Xenopus tropicalis: one gene and its partners. The protein of the gene in region 3 binds, or shares a complex with, the protein of the main gene of each other region. Links are inferred from orthologs where the notes say so. Each region holds a gene or a part of one and is shown on either strand. Other genes may lie near its edges. The genes, in order: stac3, cacng1 and cacnb3.

The links.
Region 1: cacnb3 (region 3) and stac3 share a complex: the UniProt entries of both Homo sapiens proteins name them as parts of the calcium channel complex. The link is inferred for Xenopus tropicalis from reciprocal best matches to the Homo sapiens genes CACNB3 and STAC3.
Region 2: cacnb3 (region 3) and cacng1 share a complex: the UniProt entries of both Homo sapiens proteins name them as parts of the calcium channel complex. The link is inferred for Xenopus tropicalis from reciprocal best matches to the Homo sapiens genes CACNB3 and CACNG1.

What each region holds. Positions count from the first base shown.
Region 1 is NC_030678.2:140,074,181-140,082,733, forward strand, and holds the start of stac3 (SH3 and cysteine-rich domain-containing protein 3), read right to left. Parts: upstream 5,464-8,553; 5' UTR 5,356-5,463; intron 1-5,355. UniProt on the Homo sapiens protein: Required for normal excitation-contraction coupling in skeletal muscle and for normal muscle contraction in response to membrane depolarization. Required for normal Ca(2+) release from the sarcplasmic reticulum, which ultimately leads to muscle contraction.
Region 2 is NC_030686.2:51,095,656-51,104,085, forward strand, and holds the start of cacng1 (voltage-dependent calcium channel gamma-1 subunit), read left to right. Parts: upstream 1-2,711; 5' UTR 2,712-2,768; coding exon 2,769-3,009; intron 3,010-8,430. UniProt on the Homo sapiens protein: Regulatory subunit of the voltage-gated calcium channel that gives rise to L-type calcium currents in skeletal muscle. Regulates channel inactivation kinetics.
Region 3 is NC_030678.2:135,902,366-135,910,728, reverse strand, and holds the start of cacnb3 (voltage-dependent L-type calcium channel subunit beta-3), read right to left. Parts: upstream 5,559-8,363; 5' UTR 5,448-5,558; coding exon 5,406-5,447; intron 1-5,405. UniProt on the Homo sapiens protein: Regulatory subunit of the voltage-gated calcium channel that gives rise to L-type calcium currents. Increases CACNA1B peak calcium current and shifts the voltage dependencies of channel activation and inactivation.

The DNA of each region.
Region 1 (8,553 bases), about 4.2 Mb from region 3:
TCTCCCAGATCATATTTACACAGCAGCTTTACCCCTTAGCAGGTAGCTGCTGCTGTTTAGTATTACCATGCCTGATCATAAGTGGTGGCCATTTCTCGAAGTCCTCAGGCCATTTGTGTTTTATAAGAGATTTACAGAATCAGTTTGCAGTCTGCATGTATAGTCTGTTAGTGCGCTAATCTGTAAACAACATAACTTGTTGTCTTTTGCAACAGATCCAGAGAGGGAAGAATGAATCAGAACACTGACCATAACCTAGGGAGGAGGAGAATACGCACATACATGCATTAAATCTTACTGGAGTGGTTGTCCGTTTTTTTTCTTGATTAAGCACCCCCTGGTGGACCAACCTTTGTTCAGCTCCCCTTGTAGCACATAATCAGGTTACACAAATACAAAAATATTGGTGTATTATAGTTCCAAGAACATCTAAGACATGATAAATAAGTATTCATCAAAAACAATGTCCTAGCTTAAAGGAAAACTATACCCCCAAACAAACGGTCTCTTTAAATAAGCTCGTAAGTAAAACCCTGCTTCACCTAAATAAACCATTTTCATAAAAATTTACTTTTTAGTAGTATGTGCCACTGGGTAATCCTAAATAAAGAATTAAGGGCCTCCCCCTGGGATCATAGGATTCACAGTGCACACAAACAAGCCAAGGCACACATACATGCTAGGTCCCATCAGCCAATGAATGGACAGAGTTCTGCCTTTTGCTCCCATACTACTTCCTGTTACAGTTAGAGCTACATCACTTCCTTTCAGCTGATCTCTGAGGGGGCACACAGCCCATCACTAAATGGTGGCTCAAGGGAAAGGATGTAATAGGGCAATATTTACTGATATATATTCCAGCAAGATTCTTTAATAGGTCACTTAACATAATATAAATATCTGTTGGTTATGTATTCATTCTGGGGGTATAGTTTCCCTTTAACTGTGAGCTTTCAGGTGTATCTAGGAGGGAATAAGAATTTCTCCACAAATCTTACTGTAAATGGACATTAGTCTTTAGTCCACCCTGTCACTGCCCAGGCCACTACAAAAGGGCCATCACTAGGGTTTGGCAACTGCTGTTATAATATTTATAATTTATTGTCAAAAAATGTTTACAAATCCTTGCTAGAATTTCTTTTGGTGATTGTTTTGGCAAATATACGCTTTTTGCACCATACCAAACAAAGAAAAAAATGTAAATTTTAAGCACATGCTTAATACATAATACAATTGAATCTTTGGAATAAAAAAAAAACAAAAGGGATACTCCCCAAACAAATGTCAATAACAGCATTGTACAATGATAGTATCCAAAGTGTTAAAGGGGTAGTTAACCTTCAAGTAAAATGTTAATATGCTATGGAAATGCAAATTCTTTTCAATTGGTCGTCATTTTTTATTTTTATTGTTTTTTTTTTAATTATTTGCCTTCTTCATCTGACTTTTACAAGCTTTCATATGGGGGTCATTGAGCCCAGCAGCCCATAAATAATTGTTCAGTGAAGCTACATGTCTATTGCTAGTGTCATTTTTTATTACTACTCTGCTGTTCATATTCTAATCTCTAAACCTGCCTGGTTTCTCTGGTAATTTGGAGCCTAGCATACAAAAAGAGAGGGGGATTGATCAATGCACATTCCCTGGTCCCCTGTTTCATACAGTAAGTAAATTGTCTATGCTAGTGCATGTATTGACAAAAAACAGGGGTTTTTAGTTACAAAATTATGATCATAAGATTGGTAAGCCACCATACCACGTCAAGGTAAACCCCATATGGTGGTCCTATCTATTTACCTCTGGTCATATTTTTCTAAGGCTGTCACTCCCGTGCCCTGTTGCCATTCTTGACCTGGGGGCTGGTTTGAGTCAGAGGGCTTAGTCACTCCCATGCCTTCTGCTTTTATAGAGAGAGATTGCCAGGACCACAGCTTGGTTCTACGGGCTTAATCCTCCCCCACGTGGCTTGTAAAGGAGAAGACTGCTATGGGCAGTAAGTTTGCTCCATCATAGTCATGTAGAAGTTATTGCAGCAGAATACAGATACTTCTCTTGATTTGTGGCTTCAGCAGAGTGGATTTCACTAGGGAAGCTACAAGTTTTTCTCTTGTTTTAGACATTTCCAGTATCTACAGGTATGTGAGTCTCTGCTCCATAGAGCATACAGTGGAAGTAGGGTGCCAGAAGGTTACAAAGGTTCTAAATTCTGAAGAACAAAAGAATGTAACGAATGCAGAGATCAATCCCATGCCTCTCTGAGTCAGAATGTAATGACAACCTTTTTCTGGAGCCGCCAGCTTTGTCACAGAACAGCTGAGCTTCAAAAAGGCAGGATTCAGCCTCTATTAATTTTTCGCCCCCTTTGTACACTGCCATAAAAATGGTTGATTCATAAATACTGACTTACCATAAGTTTATTTTGGCTGCTATCTAGATACAGTAGCCTACAGAGTAATCCAAATACATGAGGCTAAAATACAGGATTGTGCTAACTAGCATTATATCTGTGTGTTCAAGGTATGGGACCTGTTTTCCAGAAGGCTCAGGGTTCTTTCCATAATGTATGTATGTATATCTTTATTTATAAAGCGCTACTTATGTACGCAGCGCTGTACAGTAGAATTCATTAATACAGACAGGGGGTTAAAGATAATGGATAAATACAAAAGATAATGGATAAATACAAAGTACAACAATAAATACAAGGTGCAGTTGGAATAAGAGTCAGAAACACAAGATGAAGGAGGTCCCTGCCCCGTAGAGCTTACAATCTATATGGATCTATAATTTGGATCTTCATACTTTAAGTCCACAAAAAAAAAAATAATTAAACCGTTAAACAAACCCAATGGATGGTTTTACCACCAATATGGATTCACAGCTTAGCTACCATCAAGTACAAGGCACTGTTTCATAATTACAGAGAAAAAAAAATAAAATTATATGGGTAAAATTGAGTCTATGGGAGATGTCCCCTTCCATTATTTGGAGCTTTCTAAATAAATGGTTTCCAGATAACAGATCTCATACCTGTATCCGACATCTGATCCAGTCAGTAAATGCTTTCTTTGAGGATCCCTATGGGTGCCATGTGTAATCTAATGAAGCAACAGAACATTGTATTTCGTACCGAAAACTGCTAGTTCACTGAATGTTTTGGAACTATGAAAATTCTTTCATCTCATATTTTGTACAGGGAACCGCTAGTTCACAGAATGTTCTGGAACTATGAAAATTCTTTCATCTCATATTTTGTACAGGGAACCGCTAGTTCACAGAATGTTCTGGAACTATGAAAATTCTTTCATCATCGTATTTTGTACAGAGAACCACTAGTTCACTGAACGTTCTGGAACTATGAAAATTCTTTCATCACAAGGGTGTTCTAGAGCTGTTGGCGCCATACTCCCTACCAGCTGTATTCCTATATGCCACCTACACATTGTTTAAATACCATTGTTTGAATGCATGCAGTATAATTACGCAAATACAGCAAGCAGAAAACCATAGACGCCTGAAGCTTTCGGTATATTAACCACAGACAGTGCTTGGGGTTTTGTGGACAAACTATTTTCGTAAGCAGTGTAACTGAAGCCCTGGAGATATTAAAAGCCATGTTTGATGGCTGATAACAGCTGTACTCTGTCTGAGCGCTCTGATGGGACATCATCCCACACAAATTCTAAAGGCTTGGCAGCTGACTGTATACTTTTTGTAGATGCGAGGGGTTAAAATTAACAGCTTATGTGTCCAAAGACAGGACAGAAACAGTGAATGTGACACAGGCAGTTTGCATCTTGTTGTAAAGAGAAAGCACCTTCCAAAATATTTGGATGGAAGTAGATGTAGATGCTGGCACTCATACTCACACACATACTGTACATGTATAAAGGCTGCTACTGAATGGAAGAACATACTGGTGTTTCTTATTGGGGAGTCTTTGGCAGCACCTGAGTGATGTGTGTGTTTCACACTACCTTACAGCCCCAGGAGGCAGCTATTAGGACCAAACAAGAGGTAAAGAGATTAAATTACATTAGATCCCCTAACATATCTAGTATGGAATTATCCTAGAATAAATAAAAGTTAAAGACAAGAGAAGACAATTTTTTTGGCCACTAACCATTCCATTTTAGCTAGGGCAGTCTCATGTTTTGGGTTATGAAATGGTCGCAGGCTTACTGAAAAGTGGGTGGAGTTATGGGCAGGTTTGGGTGTGGTCTTGTGGAGTGGAAACATGGCCACAAATATCCCCATTTTTAATCAGCATTGGCAGGAATGTAAGCGGATGTTTGGCAAAGTGCCACTGACACACCCACTAAAGTTTATTGCTTACACACTGGGAGGAAAGATGGGTGATCACAGTGGGTTTTGAAAATGAGTCGATTAGATAAGATATGCCTATAAGCTATTTTATTGGTTCTCTAAAATGTATGGCAGCCAACTTGTTTCACAGCATGAAAAAAATTATCAGATTATAATGTCGGGGGGAATGAATAAGCAGTAGAATGTTTGAAAAATGTTTTAACTACTAGGCAAGACTTAAAGAAACAAGATCTGTTCGATTTTCTTTTACTTATGATATAAAATCAAATTGCAACAGTGTTTTGGTTTGCGCTGCCTAAGCTTAGTTTTCCAGCATTCCGTGTATCCATTTAAGGACTGTAAAGGCTGCAGTGATGGAAACAGTGGGTTCCGGACCGGTGCTCCATGACTCTTATAACCAAATGTTATTTTATAAGGATAGCTAGAATCTCAGCCATAAGGCAGAAGTAACAGGATATAGACATTAAATGCAAACATAAAGATAAATAAAATATTTCTAAAACTGAAATAAATCACTGTCACAAGAAATCCCTATACAGTGATCTAAAGTATTAGAACAAACACTATAATGATTGCATCCCCTGTAAAGCAATAAATCTTTGTCTAAAGAGCTTACAATTTGTGTTAAGCATTTGTTAGTGACTTGCTATAGTCAGAAAAGCAAATGAAACCAAGGTAATGTGCCTATTTCAGGAATAGGCATCTTGCCCCCTTTCCCCCATAATTCTTGCTGAACTACAACTATCAGAATCCCTGCGCTTCTGCCTCAGCTGAAACACTACAGTTCCACTGTATTTAAACTCACAAAAATATATCATTGCTATAAATAATGATAAAGATCAATATATTTATTAACAACCTTGATGTGGCCGAAACATTGTGTATGTGGAATTTTCTTTACAAGATAACTAAAATGAAATCCAAGCAGGTACATGATATTTTGTTTTATGTGGCATAAAGATCATTTAAAAGGAAATACAAAGAAGCATTAAAGGGCAAACAGAAATGGCGTACAATGCCTAGACAAACCTTACACACCTGTAGTTCTCAGATGGGGATCTACTGGAACATTTTGTCTTCAGAAGGCACTTTCAGACCTTAGGTGAGGGGCACAGAGATCCTTCGTTCACTCCTCTCAGATAATGAAACAAACTGCTCCTCAGAGGAGAGGGAGTGACAAGTGTGGAGGTGACAGGACAGCTGAGAGGCAAAGGCTGACACAGAGAAATCGGAAACTTTACAAGCAGCCATAGCACGGAGGCAGTAGGCCCAACCAGGAATTGGAGAGGTGGCTGAGAGGTGGGAAACTGAGGAAAGCGCAGGAGTCATTTCATTCCTGGGAGTTTGTCACACACACAAAACAATTCCTATTTTTACTGGAATTCAACTTGGAAATGATAATATGTTTTGGTTTTAAATGTGCTTTTTTTTCCCTCTTTCCCACTAATGAATATGAAATGCCAGGAAAAGGCTTCAGGCCTGTTTGTGGTTTGGCAGAAGGAATTCCAGAAGGGAGGCAAACAGAAAGGTAAATTATTCAGAAGAAAGAAAAACATCTATAAAGCTTAGATTGCTTAGATTAAATTGCTCTGTGAAATACTAAAGGTTATGTGTTGGGGAATCACCAGTTTATATGCTTTGTGTAATATAAAAATGGCAGTCAGTATGCTAAGCATTGGAAGATATTTTACCCAACACATTCACTGCATTCCATGGATAGAATTCAAGAGACTCAAAACATTCCAACACTGGCTCTAAACATTCTGTTATAATAATTTCAGGAAATGTGTTTCACCTTTAAATTAATTTCATGGGATGGCCAATTTTTAGCAACTTTTCAATGGTCTTTTTATATTTTTTGTATCATTTTGTGCAGCTTTCAAACGGGGGTTACTTATCTTTCTATTCATCCACTCTACTATTCATATTCCAGTCTCAAACTACTGCCTGGTTGCTAGGGTAATTTGAAACTTAGCAACCAGATAGCTGCTAAAATTCCAAACTGAATAGCTGCTAAACAAAAAGCTAAATGCATTGAAACCACCAATAATAAAAAATGAAGACCAACTGCAGATTGTCTCAGCATGTCACTCTCTACATCATACTAAAAGTTAACAGTGGCGTAAGAATGGAGGAAGCAGACCCCACAGTCACCAGGATGGGGGGGGGGGCAGGGGACAGGGGGGCCCGGACCACAGGGGTTGCTTCCTCCAGTACTGCATATAAATCTCTGCTCCGCGTCAGCTTTCAGGTAAGAGAACAGGCAGGTGTGGGGATTCATATGGGAGTGGGCACAGAAGCCAATTCAGGGGGGCAGGGGAGTCTCCAATGAGTCTCCTTGATGACCAAAGAACACAACATTCTATTTTTTTTTTTATTCTGTTCAAAATCTGGAGAATTATTCTCATAGCATAAAAAAGTGTACATTTTATTGTGACGCTCTTCCGTTTAGTGCTAATGTGCAGCTAGATTTGTTACGGGGGGGGGTTAACTTTCTAGAATGGAGCAGCTATAAGTTTATATGTGTTTCCAGCACCAGTTTGCTCGTCTGCTGATGCACCATGCGCAGGGCAACATCTTGATCAGCAGATGGAATAGTGGTACAAATGATCAACCAGTGATAATAAAAACAATTAAATGTCACCCGTTTAGAGGAGGCACAGGGTTGTCACCCTATTATATATGGCAGAGCATCTTTCATACAAAGAGCAGATAATGGGGAAGCCAAACAAACCACACAACATGGGTTTGACCTGCTGAAGCTACAAGTCAGTAACAGTTAGAGGGCTGCAGGTATGTACTGAAACTTTGTATCTTCACTGTCTCTGCTCTACCCTTACACTTACCCTGGCCTTGGATGTTCCCACACCATGAAACTATTAAGGGGAAGTATTACCCTTTTTCTCTAAAACAGACATTAAGGGTCTCTCTGCTAATTAAGAAATAGCTTTTGCATTTCATTTAACAATTTCAGTTAACAGCAAGTCAGCAGCACATTTATGTTTCGGTCTATAAAAAACATTAGATCTCTGCAACGGTGAGAAGTGGTACTGCAAGTCAGGGCTTCATGGCGACCCATTTAATAATTGTTGGCTATACACCCGTTTATTCACACACAGGCTTAGGGCGAAGACACACGGAGCTACTAGTAGCAGCTACTTGTCACGGCTACTAAAATAGACAATGCTGATCATTTACTGATAATTGTCTCTATGGGGCAGATTTACTAATCCCCGAACGGGCCGAAAGCGTCCCTATGAGTTTTTTCGTAATGAACGGTATTTTTGCGACTTTGTCGTTGCAGTCGCAACTTTTTCTTATGTCCCACTATTTTTTTTCGGCGCCATCGTGACTTTTTCGTATATTTTCCGCGACTTTTTCAAAAATCAGATTGGTTTTCCCGCCATTTACTATCGCTCAATACGATGAAAAAGTTGCGCAAAATACAAAAGTCGTGACGGCAACGAAAAAGTCGTGACAAATACGAAAAATCGCGACAGCGACGAAAAAGTCGCAAAATTTTCGTTTCCAATACGATTTTTTCCCTTTCGGGATTCGGATTCGTGGATTAGTAAATCTGCCCCTATGTGTGTTTTAGCAGAGGCAATTCATAGTATTGTCTATAGCAGGGTATTTTCTGGTGTTTAGTAGCCGTGACAAGTACTGTACTAAGTAGCTCCATTTCAGTATGATGTAGAGCAGTGATCCCCAACCAGTGCCTCAGGGGCAACATGCTGCTCCCCAACCCCTTGGATGTTGCTCCCAGTGCCCCCAAACCAGGGAGTTATTTTTTAATTCCTGACTTGGAGGCAAGTTTTGGTTGAATAAAAACAAGATTTACTACCAAATAAAGCCCCTGTAAGCTGATAGTGTGCATAGAGGCTGCCTAATAGCCAATCTTAGCCCTTATTTGGCTCCTCCATGAACTTTTATGGTGCTTGTGTTGCTCCCCAAGTCTTTTTACATTTGACTGTGGCTCACGAGTAAGAAAGGTTGGGGATCCCTGATGTAGAGAGTAATATTCTAAGACAATTTAAAATTGGTCTTCATTTTTTGTGTTTTTTTTGTTCAACAATTGTTCAGTTTGGAATTTCAGCAGTTCAAAGTACCTTAGCAACCAGGGAGTGGTTTCAATGAGAGACTGGAATAAGAATGTTAGAGGTCCCTGATAGAAAAATAACTAATAAAAAGTAACAATAAAAGTGCTAGCCTCACAGAGCAATAGTC
Region 2 (8,430 bases), on a different chromosome or scaffold from region 3:
CTGGGGGTTTTTGGGGTGAGTCAGGGATTGGGGGGTTTTGGGGTGAGTCAGGGACTGGGGGGTTTTGGGGTGAGTCAGGGATTGGGGGGTTTTGGGGTGAGTCAGGGACTGGGGGGTTTTGGGGTGAGTCAGGGACTGGGGGGTTTTGGGGTGAGTCAGGGATTGGGGGGTTTTGGGGTGAGTCAGGGACTGGGGGGTTTTGGGGTGAGTCAGGGATTGGGGGTTTTGGGGTGAGTCAGGGACTGGGGGGTTTTGGGGTGAGTCAGGGACTGGGGGGTTTTGGGGTGAGTCAGGGATTGGGGGGTTTTGGGGTGAGTCAGGGACTGGGGGGTTTTGGGGTGAGTCAGGGACTGGGGGGTTTTGGGGTGAGTCAGGGACTGGGGGGTTTTGGGGCGAGTCAGGGACTGGGGGGTTTTGGGGTGAGTCAGGGATTGGGGGTTTTGGGGTGAGTCAGGGACTGGGGGGTTTTGGGGTGAGTCAGGGACTGGGGGGTTTTGGGGTGAGTCAGGGACTGGGGGGTTTTGGGGTGAGTCAGGGACTGGGGGGTTTTGGGGTGAGTCAGGGACTGGGGGGTTTTGGGGTGAGTCAGGGACTGGGGGGTTTTGGGGTGAGTCAGGGATTGGGGGGTTTTGGGGTGAGTCAGGGACTGGGGGGTTTTGGGGCGAGTCAGGGACTGGGGGGTTTTGGGGTGAGTCAGATGTTCCTGGGAGTCGGATTCCCTAACTGTGGGTGCTGTAGCTCAGGAGTCGCAATGGATTCGCTTCACTTGTCCCATCGCATCAGTCGCAGATTCCTTTCTGCTGTTTAAAGGACAAGTAAACCCAAAGTGTTCATTCCTTTTGCTGAAATGGGGCCCAGCCTTTGCCCAGGGAAGCACATTGGCCCACGTTTCACTCCAACTTCAGTTCCCCCCTTAACCCCCGACTGGGCCAGCGGGAGAAACTAAGTCCCAGGGCTGATGGGGGGGGGGGGGGGATTTACTCACATTAACACCTCGACCACTGAGAGGCCTATTGTTACTGGCCCATCCCGCTGCCCCCCGGCCAATCACATCTTCTACACTCAGAACTACCGCATCCGATTGGCCTAATCTGGGCCCCAAAACATTAAGGAACATTAAGTGGATATTGGGGAGTGCAGAGTTCCCCTTTAATAAACTGCATGGTGTCACTTTACATGGTACTGTGCCCCCCCCCCCCCCAATCCTGCATAAAGCAATGAGGGGGTTGATAGTGACTTGGTGCAAGAGGCTGAAAGGAGCAAAGGCTAGTACAGGGGCAGTATGGGGCAGTTGGGGTAGGAGCAGGGGCATTATGGGGCAGTTGGGGTAGGAGCAGGGGCAGTATGGGGCAGTTGGGGTAGGATGGGGCAGTTGATCAATAGTAGGGGCAGGACGGGGCAGTTGGGCTAGGAGCAGGGGCAGTATGGGGCAGTTGGGGTAGGACGGGGCAGTTGATCAATAGTAGGGGCAGGACAGGGCAGTTGGGCTAGGGGCAGTATGGGGCAGTTGGGGTAGAAGCAGGGGCAGTATGGGACAGTTGGGGTAGGAGCAGGGGCAGTATGGGACAGTTGGGGTAGGAGCAGGGGCAGTATGGGACAGTTGGGGTAGGAGCAGGGGCAGTATGGGACAGTTGGGGTAGGAGCAGGGGCAGTATGGGACAGTTGGGGTAGGAGCAGGGGCAGTATGGGACAGTTGGGGTAGGAGCAGGGGCAGTATGGGACAGTTGGGGTAGGAGCAGGGGCAGTATGGGACAGTTGGGGTAGGAGCAGGGGTAGGGGCAGGGGCAGTATGGGACAGTTGGGGTAGGAGCAGGGGCAGTATGGAGCAGTTGGGGGGGGGGTATGGGCAGTTGGGTAGGATGGGCAGTTGATCAATAGTAGGGCAGGACGGGGCAGTTGGGCTAGGAGCAGGGGCAGTATGGGGCAGTTGGGCTAGGACGGGGCAGTTGATCAATAGCAGGGGCAGTATGGGCAGTTGGGGTAGGAGCAGGGGCAGTATGGGACAGTTGGGGTAGGAGCAGGGGCAGCATGGGACAGTTGGGGTAGGAGCAGGGCAGTATGTGGCAGTTGGGGTAGGAGCAGGGGCAGTATGGGGGCAGTTGGGTAGGAGCAGGGGCAGTATGTGGCAGTTGGGGTAGGAGGCAGGGGCAGCATGGGACAGTTGGGTAGGAGCAGGGGCAGTATGGGGCAGTTGGGGTAGGAGCAGGGGCAGTATGGGGCAGTTGGGGTAGGAGCAGGGGCAGTATGGGGCAGTTGGGTAGGACGGGGCAGTTGGGGTAGGAGCAGGGGCAGTATGGGGCAGTTGGGGTAGGAGCAGGGGCAGTATGGGGCAGTTGGGGTAGGAGCAGGGGCAGTATGGGGCAGGATGGGGCAGTTGGGGTAGGAGCAGGGGCAGTATGGGGCAGTTGGGGTAGGAGCAGGGGCAGTATGGGGCAGTTGGGGTAGGATCAGGGGCAGTATGGGGCAGTTGGGGTAGGACGGGGCAGTTGATCAATAGCAGGGGGTTGTGCAACTATCAGAGTGACAGGAGGGACGGGGGAAGTTGCGACACTTGGAGTGAAGGTGGCACCCCCCCCCCGCTCCGTGTATTAATAAGCCCCCCCCGCCCCCCCACCCATGTCTGTGCCCAGTTGGTGACTGATCCCAACAGCTGCTCCCGGGCCCGGCCCATCCCAGTCTCCCCCAGTGTCGGCCCCAGTAGCACAAGGAGCCACAGAGCAGAGGGAGTAGACTGAGCGCTCACTAGCCAAGGGCCCCAGCCAGTAGCCATGAAGGAGCTGAAGGTGCTGAAGATCCGGGTCACGTCCTGTATCGCCCTGGTGGGCATCTCGCTCATGTTGGCGGCCGTAATGAGCGACCACTGGGCCGTACTGAGCCCCAAACTGGACGACGACACCCAGTCCTGCGAGGTGGCCCACTTTGGCCTATGGAGGCTGTGTAAGAAGAAGATTTTCATGAGTGATCAGGAGACTATGATCAAGGGATGTGGCCCCCTGAGCCTTCCTGGGGGTAAGTAAGTCAGGGTAACCAGGCAACAAAGATTCTTTCCCCAACTTGCCCCCCAAATTCTGATTCCAGGGTTCCCATTTCATCTGGGGGCCAACCTGTAACTGTTCCACATAGGGGGGCTGGAGTGTGGGGGCCGGGGGGGCCCTACTTAATGAACAATTGATATTGGTTCCTTATTGCCGTTGGGCACTCACTGGGTAGGTCCCTTGGGCGCTCACTGGGTAGGACCTCAGGGCGCTCACTGGGTAGGACCTCAGCCGGGCACACTGGGTAGGACCCTTGGGCACTCACTGGGTAGGACCCTTGGGCGCTCACTGGGTAGGACCCTTGGGCGCTCACTGGGTAGGACCCTTGGGCGCTCACTGGGTAGGACCCTTGGGCGCTCACTGGGTAGGTCCGTTGGGCGCTCACTGGGTAGGACCTCAGGGCGCTCACTGGGTAGGACCCTTGGGCGCTCACTGGGTAGGACCTCAGGGCGCTCACTGGGTAGGACCTCAGGGCGCTCACTGGGTAGGACCTCAGGGCGCTCACTGGGTAGGACCTCAGGGCGCTCACTGGGTAGGTCCATTGGGCGCTCACTGGGTAGGACCTCAGGGCGCTCACTGGGTAGGACCTCAGGGCGCTCACTGGGTAGGACCATTGGGCGCTCACTGGGTAGGACCATTGGGCGCTCACTGGGTAGGACCTCAGGGCGCTCACTGGGAAGGACCTCAGGGCGCTCACTGGGTAGGACCTCAGGGCGCTCACTGGGTAGGACCTCAGGGCGCTCACTGGGTAGGACCTCAGGGCGCTCACTGGTAGGACGATTGGGCGCTCACTGGGTAGGACCTCAGGGCGCTCACTGGGTAGGACCTCAGGGCGCTCACTGGGTAGGACCTCAGGGCGCTCACTGGGTAGGACCTCAGGGCGCTCACTGGGTAGGACCTCAGGGCGCTCACTGGGTAGGACCTCAGGGCGCTCACTGGGTAGGACCTCAGGGCGCTCACTGGGTAGGACGATTGGGCGCTCACTGGGTAGGACCTCAGGGCGCTCACTGGGTAGGACCTCAGGGCGCTCACTGGGTAGGACCTCAGGGCGCTCACTGGGTAGGACCTCAGGGCGCTCACTGGGTAGGACCTCAGGGCGCTCACTGGGTAGGACCGTTAGGCACTCACTGGTAGGACCTCAGGGCGCTCACTGGGTAGGACCTCTGGGCGCTCACTGGGTAGGACCGTTAGGCACTCACTGGTAGGACCTCAGGGCGCTCACTGGGTAGGACCTCTGGGCGCTCACTGGGTAGGACCTCAGGGCACTCACTGGGTAGGACCTCAGGGCACTCACTGGGTAGGACCTCAGGGCACTCACTGGGTAGGACCTCAGGGCGCTCACTGGGTAGGACCTCAGGGCGCTCACTGGGTAGGACCTCAGGGCGCTCACTGGGTAGGACCTCAGGGCGCTCACTGGGTAGGACCTCAGGGCACTCACTGGGTAGGACCGTTGGGCACTCACTGGGTAGGACCGTTGGGCACTCACTGGGTAGGACCTCAGGGCACTCACTGGGTAGGACCATATGGCAATCCGCTGGCCTATGAGGCTCAGTATACCAAGGCAGGACCATCTATCACTGGTGCGGGGGGAGTAGGGCCCATGGATTATAGGAGGGGCCACCTCTGTCTGCAGCCCCCCCACACTCATGGGTCTGCCCCCACCCAGTGGCCCCATGTGTGGTGATTCAGGTGATGCCCCTCCCCAGTATCTGGTCACTGGGGGTAAGAGGCAGAGCAAGGGACCCCCTAAACTTCTCCCTGCCCTCTACCCCATATTTCCTACCCCTATGGGGGGTTGTTAGTGATCACTGGGCAGAGGGAAATACATAAAGTATGTATGTAAATAGGTATGTATGTATGTAAATAGGTATGTATGTAAATAGGTATGTATGTAAATAGGTAAGTATGTATGTAAATAGGTATGTATGTATGTAAATAGGTATGTATGTATGTAAATAGGTATGTATGTAAATAGGTATGTATGTAAATAGGTATGTATGTAGGTAAATAGGTATGTATGTATGTAAATAGGTATGTATGTATGTAAATAGGTATGTATGTAAATAGGTATGTATGTAAATAGGTATGTATGTAGGTAAATAGGTATGTATGTATGTAAATAGGTATGTATGTAGGTAAATAGGTATGTATGTAGGTAAATAGGTATGTATGTATGTAAATAGGTATGTATGTATGTAAATAGGTATGTATGTATGTAAATAGGTATGTATGTAGGTAAATAGGTATGTATGTATGTAAATAGGTATGTATGTAGGTAAATAGGTATGTATGTAAATAGGTATGTATGTATGTAAATAGGTATGTATGTAAATAGGTATGTATGTATGTAAATAGGTATGTATGTAGGTAAATAGGTATGTATGTATGTAAATAGGTATGTATGTATGTATGTAAATAGGTATGTATGTAAATAGGTATGTATGTAAATAGGTATGTATGTAGGTAAATAGGTATGTATGTAGGTAAATAGGTATGTATGTATGTAAATAGGTATGTATGTAGGTAAATAGGTATGTATGTAGGTAAATAGGTATGTATGTAGGTAAATAGGTATGTATGTAGGTAAATAGGTATGTATGTAGGTATAATTTGTGTACAAATTGTAGCCAAATATTGCTTCTAGCTGCTATGTAGCCTTTAAACCAATGAATCACTTCCATGTGAGTGCTACTGAGCTGGGGTTTGAGCTAAAGGTGCAATAGGTCTCACTACTCACTCACATTGTTTCCTGGGGGACTTTATTTTAATTGCATCACAGACTCAAAGTCATTAGACAGTGTAGGACTCGCGTATAATGAGGGGCCTTGACGCGGCACGTGAGCTTACATATTTTGGCCAAAGTGTGGTACTAACACCTCATTTTTTGTAAAAATTATTTTTAAAGGCAAACTAAGCGCTGGCAAACTTTCTTTCTCTATGTATGTAGGTATGTATGTATGTAAATAGGTATGTATGTAAATATGTATGTATGTAAATAGGTATGTATGTAAATATGTATGTATGTAAATAGGTATGTATGTAAATATGTATGTATGTAAATAGGTATGTATGTAAATAGGTATGTATGTAAATATGTATGTATGTATGTAAATATGTATGTATGTAAATAGGTATGTATGTAAATAGGTATGTATGTAAATAGGTATGTATGTAAATAGGTATGTATGTAAATATGTATGTATGTAAATAGGTATGTATGTAAATATGTATGTAAATAGGTATGTATGTAAATATGTATGTATGTATGTATGTAAATAGGTTTGTATGTAAATAGGTATGTATGTACGTAAATATGTATGTAAATAGGTATGTATGTACGTAAATATGTATGTAAATAGGTTTGTATGTATGTAAATAGGTTTGTATGTATGTAAATAGGTATGTACGTACGTAAATATGTATGTCTGTATGTAAATAGGTATGTATGTAAATAGGTTTGTATGTATGTTAATAGGTATGTACGTACGTAAATATGTATGTCTGTATGTAAATAGGTATGTTTGTACGTAAATAGGTATGTATGTAACTAGGTATGTATGTACATAAATATGTATGTAAATAGGTTTGTATGTATGTAAATAGGTATGTATGTACATAAATATGTATGTAAATAGGTATGTATGTAAATAGGTATGTATGCACATAAATATGTATGTAAATAGGTATGTATGTAAATAGGTATGTAAATAGGTATGTAAATAGGTATGTATGTAAATAGGTATGTATGTAAATAAGTATGTATGTACATAAATATGTATGTAAATAGGTTTGTATGTATGTAAATAGGTATGTATGTAAATATGTACGTATGTAAATAGGTTTATCTGTATGTAAATAGGTATGTACGTAAATATGTATGTCTGTATGTAAATAGGTATGTATGTAAATAGGTATGTATGTAAATAGGTTTGTATGTATGTAAATAGGTATGTACGTATGTAAATATGTATGTCTGTATGTAAATAGGTATGTACGTACGTAAATATGTATGTCTGTATGTAAATAGGTATGTATGTAAATAGGTATGTATGTAAATAGGTTTGTATGTATGTAAATAGGTATGTACGTATGTAAATATGTATGTATGTAAATATGTACGTATGTAAATAGGTTTATCTGTATGTAAATAGGTATGTACGTAAATATGTATGTCTGTATGTAAATAGGTATGTATGTAAATATGTACGTATGTAAATAGGTTTATCTGTATGTAAATAGGTATGTACGTAAATATGTATGTCTGTATGTAAATAGGTATGTATGTAAATAGGTATGTATGTAAATAGGTTTGTATGTATGTAAATAGGTATGTACGTATGTAAATATGTATGTCTGTATGTAAATAGGTATGTACGTACGTAAATATGTATGTCTGTATGTAAATAGGTATGTATGTAAATAGGTATGTATGTAAATATGTATGTAAATAGGTTTGTATGTATGTAAATAGGTATGTATGCAAATAGGTATGTATGTACGTAAATAGGTATGTATGTAAATAGGTATGTATGTACGTAAATATGTATGTAAATAGGTTTGTATGTATGTAAATAGGTATGTATGTACGTAAATATGTATGTCTGTATGTAAATAGGTATGTATGTAAATAGGTACGTATGTAAATAGGTTTATCTGTATGTAAATAGGTATGTACGTAAATATGTATGTCTGTATGTAAATAGGTATGTATGTAAATAGGTATGTATGTAAATAGGTTTGTATGTATGTAAATAGGTATGTACGTATGTAAATATGTATGTCTGTATGTAAATAGGTATGTACGTACGTAAATATGTATGTCTGTATGTAAATAGGTATGTATGTAAATAGGTATGTATGTAAATATGTATGTAAATAGGTTTGTATGTATGTAAATAGGTATGTATGTAAATAGGTATGTATGTACGTAAATAGGTATGTATGTAAATAGGTATGTATGTACGTAAATATGTATGTAAATAGGTTTGTATGTATGTAAATAGGTATGTATGTAAATAGGTATGTATGTACGTAAATATGTATGTCTGTATGTAAATAGGTATGTATGTATGTAAATAGGTATGTATGTATGTAAATAGGTATGTACGTACGTAAATATGTATGTCTGTATGTGAATAGGTATGTATGTACGTAAATATGTATGTAAATAGGTTTGTATGTATGTAAATAGGTATGTATGTAAATAGGTATGTATGTACGGAAATAGGTATGTATGTAAATAGGTATGTATGTACGTAAATATGTACGTCTGTATGTAAATAGGTATGTATGTATGTACGTAAATAGGTATGTATGTAAATAGGTATGTATGTACGTAAATATGTACGTCTGTATGTAAATAGGTATGTATGTATGTAAATAGGTATGTATGTAA
Region 3 (8,363 bases):
CATGTCTAGAAAGCATAAAATCCCAGTGAATATATAAAGTTCCTCTGGTTGGACTGGATGGGGCTTTATTTGGATGACAAATAACAATACAAAGTGTAGCTGGACACAGTAGAGCTGATAACAGACAGGGCTTCTACATCATATATCATTTTTGGTCCTTTAAATGTAAAAGTGGAAAAGGACAACCATCACAAAGATGGATACCTTTAATGAATGTGCCAATTAGAAGCTAATGGACCTAAACAAAAGTTAGGAAAACTGACTTGATGGCACTTAATAATGCAATAAGTAGTGTCACATTTATAGGGGCCTTAGTGACGGGGGCAGGGGCCCCCAATGATGTTACATTTGCCTCAAAATAGCACTGGTATGAAATACTGATAAGAAAGACAGTTGTTGGTTATATTTAGTTAATCACAAAAACTATAACACAAACTGCCATTTGAATCATTGCAGCAAAATGGTCGGTTAGATATCAAGTTGTAGGGCACCATCTGCTGGTCATAGATGGATTTACATGCATGCAATATTACTGATCAGGGCCATATACTTGTTACATTGTTCTTATTTATTTATAAGGTTCAACCATATTTCCCTGCACTGCAGAATACAGCAAATATTCCAGCTGCATCAATGAAACATGTATGTGCCGATGATCAAGGCTGGTATTAGAAAGGGGCTGATGAAGAAAGGATTGAACCCAGTTTGAAGTGGAAAATGATAAATCAGGGTTGTCTAAACTGTGGCTCTCCTGCTGTTGCAGAATTACAGCTTTCATTATTCTCCCATAGTGCTTGTTGCAGTTCAACAGCAGATGAAGGGCTGCCGGTTGGACATCGCTAACGTATGTCATAAAAATATTTAACATATGTCTTCTGGGATAATGGTCTCACTGCCCAAGCCCAAAAGCTGAAGGAACCTGTCTATTCCCTTTGTTAAGTTGTACAGAAGGGCCCTGTAGATCTAAACAACCACCAGGCCACGGGCTTAGTGTGTGATAATAATGTGGCATCCTGTGTAATTATCTCTGTCCTGTTTTATCAAGATTAAATTTTCATATTTGGGGGATTAAACTTTTATATTGTGCCTTGTTTTGTATATATGAATCCTGGACTAGTGTCATGCATTTTTAATCTATGCTTTTTTTTTTACTGTCTTTCTACTTTTCTTATTTCTCCACTGTGGCAGCGGTGAGCGGAAGCTGAAAAAAGAGCACCTGGTACATCTGTACAAAAGAGAATCAGGCACTAGAACAAAAATCTGCACCTATCTCTAGATGCTGGGAACTGCTCCTACTGCAGCTGTACCCAATTTGGCAAATTCACCACAATTGCTAGGGTTGCCACCCAGTAGGTATTGTACTGGCCCTGCCAGTCAATGTCACACATTTGGGGGATAAAGGATAATTTATCCCTGAAATGTGTGACATTGACTGTATGACTGAATCTGAGAGAGGTAAAGTTATATGCAGGGCAAGCTGAAAACTCACCTCATGACGGCAACAACCTTCACGTTACCGGGGTGGCAAAAACCAGACAGGTAGGGTAGGGTAGGCATAGTATAGCACACATAGGCCGGGTAAGCAGGGAGAGTATGGCACACACAGTCAGGGTAAGGCAGTGTAGGGTACTGCCATACTCTGCCTGCCCTATGCTGCCTGTGTGAGCCATACTCTACCTGCCCTGTGTTGCCTGTGTGTGCCATACTCTGCCTGCCCTGTGTTGTCTGTGTGAGCCATACTTTGCCTGACCTATGCTGCCTGTGTGTGCCATACTCTGCCTGCCCTATGTTGCCTGTGTGTGCCATACTCTGCCTGCCCTGTGTTGGCTGTGTGTGCCATACTTTGCCTGCCCTATGCTGCCTGTGTGTGCCATACTCTGCCTGCCCTATCTTGCCTGTGTGTACCATACTCTGCCTGCCCTATGCTGCCTGTGTGTGCCATACTCTGCCTGCCCTATGTTGTCTGTGTGTGCCATACTCTGCCTGCCCTGTGTTGGCTGTGTGTGCCATACTTTGCCTGCCCTATGCTGCCTGTGTGAGCCATACTCTGCCTGCCCTATGTTGCCTGTGTGTGCCATACTCTGCCTGCCCTGTGTTGCCTGTGTGTGCCATACTTTGCGTGCCCTATGCTGCCTGTGTGTGCCATACTCTGCCTGCCCTATGCTGCCTGTGTGTGCCATACTCTGCCTGCCCTATGCTGCCTGTGTGTGCCATACTTTGCCTGTCCTATGCTGCCTGTGTGTGGCATACTCTGCCTGCCCTATGCTGCCTGTGTGTGCCATACTCTGCCTGCCCTATGCTGCCTGTGTGTGCCATACTCTGCCTGCCCTATGCTGCCTGTGTGTGCCATACTCTACCTGCCCTATGCTGCCTGTGTGTGCCATACTTTGTCTGCCCTATGCTGCCGCCTGTGTGTGCCATACTTTGCCTGTCCTATGCTGCCTGTGTGTGCCATACTCTACCTGCCCTATGCTGCCTGTGTGTGCCATACTCTGCCTGCCCTATGTTGTCTGTGTGTGCCATACTCTGCCTGCCCTGTGTTGGCTGTGTGTGCCATACTTTGCCTGCCCTATGCTGCCTGTGCGAGCCATACTCTGCCTGCCCTATGTTGCCTGTGTGTGCCATACTTTGCCTGCCCTATGCTGCCTGTGTGTGCCATACTCTGCCTGCCCTATGCTGCCTGTGTGTGTCATACTCTGCCTGCTTTATGCTGAAAAAAAATGGTGATTTGCATTTGAATTTTGCAGTTTGTACATTGCACATTGTACTCTTTTTGGAAATGAGCCTTCATATGTATCTGTGCATAACTGTGGCCCCTATCCATACATAAGACATTGCATGAAACATACAGTTTCATGCAATGTCTTATGTATGGATAGGGGCCACAGAATTCCAGCAAGGAATGAATTAGGGGAGGAACAGAATGCTTTACCCATCCCTCCAACCAGGGTTGTCTAAAAAAATAGAGGGAGGGACACCATATGCCTAATTGGCCACGTCCCCAGTATGCTCAAACCCAGCAACAATCTGTTTTCTGCATTTCTGCACCGACTTGCAAACTCATTAACGCATGTTTAGTAGTGACATCATTATGATGTTTTTGTACATTACACATGGCAAGGAGTACAGTCAATGGCATACTTATGGAGGGGAGCAGCCTTTACATTCTAGTGATAGGGCCCACAGTGAATATCTGCTGAAAATGCAAAGTCTCACGTTTTTTGGTGGATATCGGCTACATGTGCCTGCCCCCAGTGTATTCCACTCATTCGGGTGCAGGCATAAGGTAGGCCAATTGTTACATTTTTCAGGCTTGCTGAAAATACACTCCTTGTGGCATTAGTTTTAAGGCCTAAATCTAACAATTCATGTTCTTTCACGTAACCCTTATCATTGCCATTAATTGCCATTAATGTATCTTAAAACATGCACATTTATATCCCGAAACAGTCCTTTTGTGATCACCAAAGATGGCCAGCTATATAGGGTAAACAGCGTAAAATGTACTCATTTAGATGGCAAACAAATAAATCTTTGGCCAATTTAGCACATCAAGTTGCGGCCAAAATCAGGCTTATGTAACACAGAGCACTTGGGCCAACAATAAGACCATATAGAGTCACTATACAGGTAAAGGATCTGTTATCCAGAATGCTCAGGACCTTGGGTGTTCCAGATAAGGTGTCTTTTTCATAATTTGGATCGGCACTAAAAAAAAAATGTAAACATTAAATCAACCCAGTAGGATTGTTTTGCCTCCAATAAGGATTAATTGTATAATACTGTTTTATTATTACAGAGAAAAGGAAATATTTTTTCAAGATATGATTTATTTATCTGGATAATGGATCTCATACCTGTATTTAGTTTAATCCACTAACTATAATTATAAGTTTTTTGAAACCACAACTAAACTCATTTCCACTAAAATTATGAAGGTCTAGTCATTTATTAAAAGATCCAAATTGAAAAAGCACAAACGAATAAAAATGCAGAATGAAAAGGAAAAGAACATGAAAACCATAAAATTTTTGTTTTTGCTGCCATCTGTGAGCAAATGCGCTACAATAGAAAATTGGTTCTGTTTTTACCAGTGTAAAGTACTTTCTGGGTGTGATTTGCACTTATTGCAGAAATGGCTCTGTGTCCAGTCTGCCATTGAAACCACTATCCCTTGTAATGTTGCCATACATGGGCTCATAAAAGGTGCTGACTTGATCCTTTGGCAGCTTATTGAAACATGTATTGGTGACCATGCCAAATAAGAGGATCTTACATTGTATGCCCAGCTTTACTCTAGCAACCACACAAGCTCAGCTTTTAACAACACAGCAGCAGAAATAATTAAACCATCACAAAGAAAAATCAAAATCAAAACTGGATATTTCTGGTGCTATAATAATAAATGATGATGATATTGACTAAGAACAGCATTCCCATGCTGTAAATTCGTTTTAAGATGAATCTCCACTTTAATGGTTCTGGGCAGATAAAAATACTCTAATTTCTAATGTAAATCCACCAAGGACTATTGGGTTAGTGGGGCCCGACTGCTTATTATATGTGTAGCTCAGCAAATCTATGTTATTAGTCACAGAGAAAACAGAACCATGGCATGTAGGTAGGATAATGGAGGCAAGTGTAAAAGCTGATTTCAACACAGCCGTGGATTATGGGTGGTTTGGGAAAGAAGGCAATGATGAGATAGTTAACAGTCAATTAAAATCAGAGACAAGCTGATTAGGAGCCATCTCTTGCAATCCAGCTGAGCCAGAGCCTGTCATGCCTGATCCTTTTCCCTCCGTCTCAGCCTCCCTCCCTGGCTAAATCATGTTCATTTGTTGCTTGTCAGCAGCTGTCAGTTTCTCCATGATCGCTGTCTATTTGTTTTTTCTTCTTATACATTTCCATATAATAAAAGATCATTCCACCTGGCAATAGCTACTGCCTTTTAAGTTTTCCTTTTGCCGAGTGTATGGTGCCTTATTACTATTAATTTTTAACCTTTATTTTTGGATTCATACACTAACGATTCAATACAACAAAGTACAGTGACATTGGTGTTGCTCATAATCCTATAGAAGACAATTTAGTAGTATCCCTATTCACTGCTTCCCCCCCCCACACACACAATATTAATGTACCAGCATGCCCCTTCCCAGTTTTCTTTCTGTTTGTGGTCAATGGTGGTACCTATCCCCTGTGCCTTTTTATCCCCACCTTTACCTTTGTTTACCATTCTTCTGTGTTTCAGTAAAAAGCAAGAGGTTTTATATTAAAAGCACTAAGCACAACATGGCTCATTGCACATCCCCAAAAAGCTGCTCTGTTCTTCAGATAAAATAGCCCTCAATGCAACAACACTAACCTTCCCTTTAAGGCAGTAAAGAAAGGCAAATGGTTACCTCATTCAGAAGAAATGTTGCACTGGAGTCAGAGAAAGACATAGAAGGGGCATAAATAGCCCAAAGCCGCACTCTCAGAAGCTTTTTTTATATACAAAGCAGACTTTGCATTCTCTGTTTATCTGCCTCGCTGTGCTCATAGCTTTTCTCTCCATCAAACACACACAAAACACACAATTTCTCCCCTTCCCTGCCTCTCTTACTCCTCCTTCTGTTTCTCTCATTTCATTTCCACCTCTCAGTGCCTAAGCCTGGCTGAAATAATGGATTCACAGACATTTAAGTGCCGAATAATTGTATTAATGGCTTGTGGCAACACAATGGGGGGGAAAAAAATCTTTGAAAGGCACAAATGGATTTTTTTTTTATTCTGCAAGGAGCAGCCCCCGGCACATAGCTTACCATTCCCTGTCCTTTAAGGCCACTCACAATGAGCAATAATTCCACATCTACAGGCAATGACCTTTATTGGCAGGGCTATGAGCTCATGTTCAGTGATGGATATACAGCAGGAGTAACTACACATTGTGATAGAAGCCTTGATCAATTTCTTTCATTATATTGAATGGAAAAAGATGGAGATATGAGTTCTATAAAGACTATAGGGAGTCATTAACTAAGTGAAAGGCAGGCTGCAAAGTGCAAATAAAGGGTGCAATCTTAAGTTTGCACTTTGCACACTGCCTTCCACATTTTTGAATTGCCACAGGTCTCTGCACCTGTGACAGCCTCAGTGAATACAGTGCTGCCTGTGTTAGGCAGCAGGGCCGCTCCTGCCATATGGCAAGGTGAGAACAGCAAAAAGCCACCTTTGAAACTATTGAGAGTTGAATTTTCATTGTTTAAAATGAAAGTTCAACTCTTCTATTGCGGAATAAGAAATTGTATCCACCAGTGCTTTGCCAAATGGCCACTAATTGTGTTGATATTGGAGGGAAGATGGAACATGGGGTAAGTCCATATTAGGCTAATTAGTTTGCAATTTACCTTTCTAAGTTTAGAAGGGAATAATTCAGAATCAGTTTAGTTTAATCAGTTCAGAAGGAAATCATTCCTCTCTGTGTGCCCCAACTGGCAGCTCCCATTCTTCTAAATCAATTTGTAAAATGTTTCCTACAAGTTGAATGTGATGGACTCTAATCCAGGTTGGTGTTACTATGTATTATGGGGATGCACCGAATCCACTTTTTCGGATTCGGCCAAATCCCCGAATCCTTCGTAAAAGAGTTGGGCAAATACCAAACCGAGTCCGAATCCTAATTAGTATATTCTTATTAGGTTTTGGAAGGGTTTAACCCTTCTACTGCCAGCCATTTTGGTCAAAGCGGAACTTGTATTGCCAGACAGTTTTTGAACATTTTGCACTGTTTCACTTTAGGGGCCTTTCCTCGGGGGGACTTTTAGTTTACCAAGGAAAACAATATATCGTTTTTTTCAGAACAACCTAAGCTTTCAAAATATGGTAGAATTTTTGTGTAATTCCAATTCTGTAACAAGATATAGGCTTCTAAATGTCTAAAAATGCAAAAAAAATCAAATTTTCCATAATATAATCACACATACTAGAAACAAAAATTATTTTATGCACGAATATACAACTGATTTGGAAAGTCCCATGTCTCCTGAACGTGCCAATACCAAATATATATAGTTTTATGGAGATTTCTCACTTGTATAGGTCAAAAACTCCCAGCAGTACACTACCAAATTCCCAAAGCACTGCTCCAAAAAAACTGCATACTTTGGATTTCAAGGCCAAAATTCCACTAACAGAAGGTTTATCCCAGAAAATTGTACATTTTTGGAAAGAACAGATTCTGGGGAATACAGAATAGGCACAACTGTCTGTCTACTCCAAACTATCAAGTCGCAATGCTTTCCTAAAGTTATTGGTTTTTATCAAAATTTGTGATTTTTTTTAAAAATCGCTTCAAAGCTTCCAGTCTATAGTATCTTATCTCCTACAGGTCATAAAGTAACCAAATAAAACACCCTAAATATGAATGCCTGGGGTCCACTGAACAGTTTGATGCCCAATATGTATAGGTTTACCTAAGTATGTGGCATGTAGGGGCCCCAATGTGAACATACCCCATATGAACTGTCATTTCTGTCATTTCAGCTTCTGCAAAATCAACACATTTACATCATTATATGTGGGATAAAGCTAGTAAAAAGTATGCTCACCCCAGAAAGTCATATATTTTTGGAAAGTACACATTCCCCCGAATCTAAAATGGGTACCCATGTCTTTCTACTCCAAAGTACCAAGCCGCACAGCTTTTCTAAAGTTAGCAATTTTGATGACATTTCCAAAAATCCCCTCAAAGCTTCCACTTTGAAGCATCTTATCTCCCACATAGCATTAGGTACCAAGATAAAACACCCTGAATTTGAACGCCAGGGGTCCACTGAACAGTTTGATGCCCAATATGTATAGGTTTACCTAAGTATGTGGCATGTAGGGGCCCCAATGTGAACATACCCCATATGAACTGTCATTTCTGTCATTTCAGCTTCTGCAAAATCAACACATTTACATCATTATATGTGGGATGAAGCTAGTAAAAAGTACGCTCACCCCAGAAAGTCATATATTTTTGGAAAGTACACATTCCCCCGAATCTAAAATGGGTACCCATGTCTTTCTACTCCAAAGTACCAAGCCGCACAGCTTTTCTAAAGTTAGCAATTTTGATGACATTTCCAAAAATCCCCTCAAAGCTTCCACTTTGAAGCATCTTATCTCCCACATAGCATTAGGTACCAAGATAAAACACCCTGAATTTGAACGCCAGGGGTCCACTGAACAGTTTGATGCCCAATATGTATAGGTTTACCTAAGTATGTGGCATGTAGGGGCCCCAATGTGAACATACCCCATATGAACTGTCATTTCTGTCATTTCAGCTTCTGCAAAATCAACACATTTACATCATTATATGTGGGATAAAGCTA